2 linked regions of the Arabidopsis thaliana genome follow. The protein of the gene in region 1 interacts with the protein of each later gene in a pairwise test. Each region holds a gene or a part of one and is shown on either strand. Other genes may lie near its edges.

Region 1 (4,322 bases):
AAATGAGCTGTTCTAACATGTTGCAGGAAAACAGAGGACTCTGCCTTCAAATCAACAGGCTAATAACAACAATTGTCTATCATGATCAACACAAAGGCAAATTAGGTTTCTTTATAAATACATTTGTAGATAAGTATTTTCAAATTTTGTAAAAACATTAGAATTTGTTGCGCGTTGATCTTGATTGACCTAAGACCATTACGTGATCTCAAGACATGATTTAAATAAGATGACATTTTTAATGATCAAAGCTGTGTTTGCGTGTAATGCTTACCACTTGACCACGACGATGAAAATCACGATCCATCAGAAATCAGAATGCAATTTAGAAACAAACGATCAACGAGCAATAAACCAGAGAGACGAATCAAAAGGAAAAAATGTTTGTAGACAAATGAGAGGCAGAGACGAAAGGAGGTGATGAGCTCGTGGAGAAATTTAGGAATGAAAAAAATTTGGAATCCCAAATAACTACGGAAAAGAAAAGACAGAAAACACAAAAGATAAAAGAAAAAGCTAAGAAAAGAAAGAAAACGTCAAAAGGAAGCGACAGAGAGGCGTGTGATCAAGAATAGAACAAACATCCCAATTTTGGTGAATTATAATAAAAGGTGTGAAGAATAATTACCTTCAAAGTCTCTCTCTCTCTCTTTCTCTCTTTCTCATAAATAGTTTTATGAACTGAATGAGCAAACCAACAATAAATCCAAATATAGAAAACAAGTTTATCTGAAAATAATTGAAAAACATTACACAGCCTCCATCTGTAAAAACCCATATTCTTTTTATGTTTCCAAATCCTTCCTTTCGCCTTCCTTCAGGCATTCAGAATTTCGCATTCTGAAAACAAGCTTTTGAGCAATAGTAGTACTCAATATTTTTTCTAGTAACCTTGAAAAACCTAGGGAACCTACAACGAGAGCCACAATCAGTGCATTTTGGTCTAGAATCGTGATCGTTGAAACCCACTTCAAACTTATTCTCCCTGTTCTTCATTATTATTCCAGGTTTTATGTTCAAAAAGTCCCCGGTTACGCATTCAATATGGCACACGACCCCACAATCATCGCATGTATAGAACCATCTTTCAGGATTGGTTTCGGCTTCACAGATTTCACACCAATATTTACCTTCAGGCGCCTCCTCCCCAGAGCGCAAAACTAAATAATGTGTATCACACCTATGCTTTATGACTAATGGTAGAGTGGCGCATTTGTAATCCAAAGAATAATCACAATCAACACAACGCAGCACATTGAGTTTATTCTCACCGCAAGCTAAGCAAGTACCACGATCTATTGTGGTTAGAAATAACGTGTGAGGATGAAGTTTGGGGTGCTTGAAGAAAGAGAGAGACGCACACAACACATCGAGTACCACACCCTCTTCATCCTTGTAGCTAAAACCCCTTCCATCTCTATTGCAAGCATCACAACTGAAATTTTGTTCGCTAAAATCCTTCCCGAAGCGAAGATAAAATATACCTGTGGAAAGTCCATGTCGTTTCGTAAGAGGAAGATTCGCACACTCTTCGTGAAGAATAAACTTGCATTCCACGCACTTGTAGTGCTTCTCAGAAGAGACTGGACGGGCGCAAGCTTCACAATGCATGTCTTCAGCACCATCTATAAAAACATCCTCAATAAGGAATAAGTTATGTTTCTCGTGGGAGAAATGATAAATTACCCCTTCCTCGATCACTTCAAATGGCGCAACGTCTACTACTTCCTCAGGTATCCCTTCGAGTTCGGTCCCATCCCACACGTCTTTTCTAGTTGCACATTTTGAATGAACAAAAAAATCTGGACATTTGTTGCATGAATAGCCTCCGTACGTGGTGTTGATATCTTGACGACAGATTTCACATACCCAATTCCCACGTTTGAGAGGATATGAATGTGAAATGCGATGATCATGACGATTGATGTTGATGACGTGTGGTAGATCAATACAATCATAATGAAACATGACAGAGCATGGTAGGCATACATAAGGGTTCCGTTCACCATGCGTACCACAAGCATTGCAAGTGAAGGATACTTCCCTTCCCATGAGGGTGAGTGCATGCTCGTGGCACTTTGGATGATCCACTTTGTGGGGCGGGGGCCTGTTTCCGCATTCCATATCTATGCTGAAATTGCATAACTTACAATGGTAAACGAAGTTGGAGAGTTTCCGTTGACAGAGGCTGCACTTCTCGTCAGAGTAACTAGGTGGCCCTTGGAGGAGAACCTCTAGGGGATGGTTCGGGTGACAAGGGTGGTTAATATTCTTCGTTGACCTTGGCACGCAATAGGGATGCCATTTTATATTGCATCTGAAGCATCCATAAAAAACTTCAAAGAAGGGTATAGCACTCCTATGGCACTCTTGGCAAGTGAACATACGATATTTTTCATATAAAGGATGTTCGTGCCAAAAGAGGTCCAGCGTCTTAGCCATGGGCAATGTTAAGAATGGTTGTGGATACGATGAATGAATAAGGATCAGGGAACTTTAAGAAAATTGAAAAGGTTTAACTTCAATTCCTAATTGATCTCTAAATCCTTATATTGTTGACCCGTATCACTACCCACGATCTCCGATATAAATCACTCAAGTTGATCATCGTTAGTTGTACGCAACTAATAGAACTGGTTTAGTCTTTTCTTAAGGCTCAATTTGGGGGGTCCAAGTGTTTATTATATGTCAAAAAAATTATTTAGTTAGTCCGACTAATCTTTCACCGGATTATTAAAATGCGTACTCATCGTTGACTATAGAAATATATATTAAAAAATTGTCTGGTTGATCACATATATATGTTTTGTTATCCGAGTTGATAATATTTTGGAAGGTGTGAGGATGAGCACAAGGGAAACCGCTAGGAGAACAAGAAGCTGTCAGTGAACGCCTTTTCACAGTTCAATGAAGTCTTCACTTGCATAGAAAAGAATATACAGATTCTTATATTTAAGCAACCATTTAACTCTAATATTTTTGTTATGATTGGAACCGAAGTTAATCAAACGACACTAATTAATTTCTAGAACCGAATTTAATCAAACAGAAATTGCTAGTTTTTTTAGATTTAAATTTAATACGAGCAACCGAAAAAACGGAAACGCATCAGGATACATTTTGCAGCTGGTCTCTTAAATGGTTCATAAAGAGTCAAGTATAAAAAGTAAACACCCGAGCTGTTTCTGTATCTATCCACACAGATTTCAACTTCTCTTATTTCATCGTCTATCATTACTGTCTCCACCGCTTCCACCACCGTACTGTGTGGAGTTTCCGTTCCAAAAAGCGTTTCCATCACCAAACGGAGCCTCATCTTCATTGTGATTCAACGTATGGATGTTACTTCCAATCCGAGAAGTGGTTGGTCTCCTATTCCTAACGTTGCTCCTACCTTCTGATGGATCTTGAAAGGACGTCCCTACTTGCCCCAGATTGTTTCTCACCTCCGTATTTGGTCCTATAGATAGAAAAAGAGAGAATCAGATTAGCAATTACACGACTTTCTGCATTAGAATGGATTTTATAAACTCATCATATTCCCGCATACTTGTTTGACGTTCTGGAACAGAGCTTGATGCGTTGGCAGTACCACCGCCAAAATATGAAAACGGGTTTGCATAAGACAGTACTCTTCTAACATAAGCAAAGTAACCGCCACTATTAGGGTCTGTGTTGTTGTTAGACTCCGAGTAAGATGTTCCTCTTTGATAGACGGTTGCTCTTTTTCGCGGAACTACTACAAGTGCTTGTCTATCGAACAATCTCAACTCGGATAGAGACTTATCCAGATCTGCAGAGATTAAGAGTAATGGAGTTATGTATCTACTACACTAGTCCAAACTGACCAGAAAAAAAAAAAAAAAAAACCTAAATGGCAGAAAACATCATCTTCGATCAAGATGAAGCTGGTTTTAAGGTAAAATGTTCTTTACCAAATAAAAATAAAAATCTATTGGATGCATTGTAGATTTTACGTACCTTGGTCAGTATACACCTTACGTGGGTAAGGAACCGCAAGATCATAAGCACCCAGTCCGATTGTTTGATTACTGTTCACATAATCCTTGACCATTCTCAATATACTTGTCACAGAAAACTTCTCCTGAAGGCTACTACCATCAGGTAATCGAATGTTTAAATGAACGTCAGATGCTTTTTTGGATTTTTCTCCATCCTCTTCCTCTCCTCCTTCATCCTTTGGCTTCATGGTCTCTTTTGTATCGACAGATTTTGTTAGATTAATGTCCCTTCCACTAACACCTACACCACTATCCTCTTCATTTATCACAGTTCCCTGTTTCCTTTTTCTATCAACAGAA
Region 2 (4,861 bases), on another chromosome or scaffold:
ACTGGTTTGATTCTAAATCTCTGATTTCATTTGCAACTCCAAGGAGAAATCGAGTTATTATAAAAATAAACAATGTAGCAGCTTCTGACAACGAGGAAAGTTCCAATGGTGCACCCTCTCAGCGTGCAAGCCTTTTTTATTTATGGGTAAATTTTGAACTTATCTGAACCATACCATATAACTACTATTTCCTTCTTCTTTTTTTGACAACACTATATAACTACTAAATTAAAACTATACAATACCCAACTTTTACAAAATCAGCTTTCCCTATAAATATTTCTTAAAAAATAACGAAAAGAACTTGGGTGAATAAAATAATTTACTGAAAACGCATGTGATAGCAATTATATCACTCTGCCACTCCCACACTATTTGATTCCCACCAAGTGTGAACACAGCTATGAAATTTACCATAGTTAACAAAATGTTACATTTACTGGTCAAAAAGCCTAAATTGAGAAATAACACGTTAAGTTCATCATAATTCATAATCATGATTTTTAACCCACTCGACTACTGAATTCTTAACCTAATCATGATTTTCAATAATAGAGATAACCAAGAACATATTAGCTTAGACTCCTGAGAATTACACTTAATAGTCAATAATAAGATGGGAATTATGATGCAGGTTGATGATTATCCCTAATCTCTCCCTATAATATTAAAAAGTTAGAAGTACAAAAAACAAACATTATTTCTCAAGTTAAAATTACAAATTCAAGATTCTAAAACTTTGTAAATAACCACGAAGCAAGGTAATATAGCTCTCGGGTTATAAACCACAAGCTCCTCAAGATTCGAATAAACTCCAGCATTGACCGCCACCGAGTCAAACGTACCACCACTCGAAGAAACTCCAACCACCGAGTTATCCTCCACCGTTGACTTCTTCTCCGCTGTAGCCGAAGCATCCGCCGCCGGTAAATCAACTCGCTTAACTCTCCCAGCGATCACACGGCACACAAGCATCACTCTCCTCGCATCATCGCTACACCTCAGCAAATCATCAGCTCTTCCGCTGCTCGCCGTCGTCCTCACACCGGCGTTTGCGACGTTGGCTCCTCCGCCACCAGATTTTCCTTGGAAACCGTGGCGAATCACGGTGCAGACGCCACAAACAGGGAGGTTAGAGCAGAGAGAAGAAGAGCCACGAGCTCCGAGTGAACAAGTGAGAGTGGTGCAGTGAAAACGTAAGAGCTCGTTGCCGTCGGCGGCACAACGAGCATCTTTTCTGGTTGCTTGAAGTGCACGCGCCTTCACTGCGTCTCGGCAATCCTCAAACCGTTGGATCGTACGTTGAGTGTTGTGGACTTTTAATATCCGTTCGATCTGACAGATGGGACTGTCTTTTTTAAGCCAGCTTGATTTGAATATGATCTCCACTATGTTTCGACCCGAATCCTCCGGACCTAACTCCGAAACTGCAATTAAACGACAACGTTTTTGCTCATAAAATCAGGAAAAATATGCAAGTCAAAACAAAAATCTGAGTTTTTGGGACATTAAAGACAGTTCTATAATTCGGTTTTTGTCAGGTGAGGGGTTTTAATTCTGATACTGTCGAATTGAAAAATGACACGTAATATTTCAGGGGGACATTGAATTTAGTTAAGAGCAGAGACAGCTGTTTCTTTTTATAGTACAATGGTCCCATCGCATGGTAAGTGTTTCCAAGCAAAACGACGGATTTGGAGACCATAGAATATATCTTGTTCTCCAGTTATATTCCTATTCTCTTTTGTATCTTTCTCTAAAAATACGTATGAATCTCTATTCCAAAAACAATCTGTAACATACGGCCAAATCATCCTAACTTATTTGATCGATATAATCACCGACAATAACACTGAGATCTTGATTCCATTAAGAAACAACGAAGTCTAAGATATATATTAATGAAAGCATGTTCGTTAATTATTTGCTTAGCATTATGGTAAATCTATCGATAAATCCAAGGGCCTATACGCCGGAAAACATGTGTTAATGCTAATTATTCAATCAATACTAAACAAACAAAGGTTGTATCATCATTCACAAGTCAAATCATGGACTGAGATCTTAAGTTTTTTTCCAAGGATACAAAACATAATCTTACTTTGCCAAGCCATTCGCATTTACGAAAATCTCACTAGATACTTAGGGTTAAATTTAAAAATGTGACTACCACACACCAAAAAATAAAAAATTGTAGCTAAAGCGTAATTAATTAATTTGAGGTAAGTGATAAAGTCAAACAATTTTTGTTAAAAGGAAAAAAAAAGCCTTACCTGCGTGACGAACTGCTTGATGAAGCTCTAAGCTTTCAAGCTTGGGGAAAACTTCTCCACATTGGGAACAAGCACAAACCCTAGGCGAAATCGGATACCTAAAATTCAAGAACATGAAAATGAAATTACAAAAATATAATTCAGAAGAACATTTACTTACTCATAATTAATTTTTGGTGTCATTACCTGCTCGGGTCAACGATCATGTGACATTCGTAACATCCGGAGAGTTTACGGAACTGCATGGCTCTAAACGAAGTCGTTGACGATGACGTGTAACTCCCACTGGCGTTAGATCTCGTTGAGCCAGATGTAAGAGACCGAGACGAAGAAGAACCGTGTTGACCAGGTTTCCGAGTCAGAAGCCGAGTCTCCGAGTTAGGAGTAGCCGAGTTACCTACGTCTGGTGAGTGATCAGCTCTATGAACCACACGAGTGTTGCCGTGAGCCACGTCTCTAAAGCTGCAAATGGAGCTGCACGACGAGCCAAGCTTGGAAGGAGATAAGTTAGTTGTCATGGACGGACCAGATTGAGAGTTCTTGGAAGGATCATGGACTCTTGACCCTTCGATTTGTTTGCAAGTCAATAGGTTCTTGATTTGGTCCCATGAAGATGGCTGCTTCGGAGGTACTGCTTTCTTCGGTTTCTGCGGTTTATGTTTCTGTGTCTGCGTTTGGTCGGTGGGATTATCGCGTTTCTTTCGTTTGCTAGACGTTGGCTTGTGTTTTTGTGGCGCCTCTGCGTTCTCCGGCAAGAAAGTTAGTAAAGCCATTGAAAGAAGAAAGAAACTCTTGAGAATGTGAGAGTTTCTTTTGTGTTCGTCTTTATGGTTCTTTAATTATAAGCTTTTATTTTTAGGTGTTGAAATCGAAGATGGATCCAAGATGGGTAATAAGGAGGGAAGAAGATTAAAGTAGTGGGCTCTATCTTTCTTTAATTCTTTATTTTACAGTTTTACTTTCTTACCCTTCTGATTAATATTCTTGTCGTTCGAATTTATTAAAATTATAATCTTTTAATAGAAAATAGGGTACTAATTTAACTATATTCAGATATCTTGTTTTGTCAGAGAAAAATATCTTTCTAATTAATTTTGGCATCTGGTTGCTTGCTTTGTTAGTTGTGGATTTTCCTCAAAAGAAAAAACAGTATTTAATTATGGATTTTGGATAGATAGTAAATTACTTTTTTGATGATTATAAATTAGTTAGAAGATCTTGAAGTTAATTTTTTTGGACGAGCTTGGTTGGCTTTGTATGTGCTTTAACTGCTTCATCTATAATCTTCCATTACAGTTTGACCTTCTTAAAGGCGGAATTAGTCAACGTCACTGATGTTTATATTGGTAGTATTGATTTGTTTGGTTATTATACTCAAAACTTTGAATGGAATCTCTTTATTAATAGTCGTTACTACATAATAAAAATGTATAAGTTCACCATTAAAACAAGTTTGATGACAGAAATAATTAGTTTTAAAAATCAAAGTTTGGAGATTCCATGAATGCAAGCAAGACAACAAGAAAAGAAATGGAATTAATTAGTACATCAAAAATATAATAATAATAATAATTCTAAAAATGATGTTGTTGATATGTATGGTCAAAAGTATTTTTTTAACAGAACAAGATTACACGTTAAACACCAGACAAGGTCTTTGGAAACTTCGTATTTGGAACTGTGATTACGGATTCCAAATGTTCTATTTGTCTCGATTTGAAAATTTCAATGCTCTTAATTCCTTGTTTCCTAAATAGTTTGGTACATTTATATCATTTTTACTTCAATAGTTTTTGGTCTCAGTTTGTATGTAAGTATTTCAGATTTATGCAATGTATTACTTCATATTGATAGACTATTTTTTTCAAAGTAATTAGGATAGGGTGTCATAAACTAATCTCAGTACAGTAAATAGAGGTGGAGTTACACTTGAAGTTTGTGTAAAAAAGTATGGGTGTAAATTCATTTATTAATATACTGATTATCATAAAAAACAGTTTAATGCACTAAATAAATAATAATTTAATGTGTAATAAATGTCGACATTATGGGAAGAACATTTTTAATGTGATAACTCAAGTGAGCTTGTATATTTTTAGATTGTGGTAATTGCGTTCAAACACAACACACAATTTCGAGTAATTATATTAATCATTCATCATCAATAACATAAAAGTAAATTAATCATATTTAGGGTGAAAATTTGTAGCAATCAAAAGAAACTACGATTTTAAGGTTGATCGTTGACTATATGTAAAATTCTAAGACCTTCACATTCGCCGCAATACTTGGATTTATCACGCAGTCGCTTTGGCCTTCTCACTTGTCGTGTTCCACATTTGTCCTTCTCTTTTGTTTTAAACTTTGGTTATAAAAATCACCAGAGATTGTTATAAAGTCATTTCGTTTAAAATTTTGTTAAATATGTTATGTTCATTGAGACAAAAGAAGAAACGAAGCGCGAGATCTTGAGAATATGTTTGATTCATAAACAAGTTTGAATTTCAAAAAACGAAAAGTAAAGTAGTAATTGTTTACGTACGTAACATTTAAAATACTATTGTTAGTCCGGTGACAATGGAATTTAT

Evidence for each region. Proteins that work in one complex are often made in the same cells at the same time.
Region 2: the proteins of AT2G43220 (region 1) and AT1G75710 interact in a two-hybrid assay, tested with the Arabidopsis thaliana proteins (one large-scale study listed by BioGRID).

Annotation. Positions count from the first base shown.
Region 1 is NC_003071.7:17,962,460-17,966,781, reverse strand, and holds AT2G43220 (Cysteine/Histidine-rich C1 domain family protein), read right to left. Parts: upstream 2,564-4,322; 5' UTR 2,443-2,563; coding exon 826-2,442; 3' UTR 571-825; downstream 1-570. Other genes in the region: AT2G43230 (Protein kinase superfamily protein), read right to left, coding at 1-12, 122-189, 275-307; AT2G43210 (Ubiquitin-like superfamily protein), read right to left, coding at 3,222-3,460, 3,551-3,793, 3,982-4,322.
Region 2 is NC_003070.9:28,426,991-28,431,851, reverse strand, and holds AT1G75710 (C2H2-like zinc finger protein), read right to left. Parts: upstream 3,182-4,861; 5' UTR 3,047-3,181; coding exon 2,460-3,046; intron 2,372-2,459; coding exon 2,274-2,371; intron 1,428-2,273; coding exon 724-1,427; 3' UTR 513-723; downstream 1-512.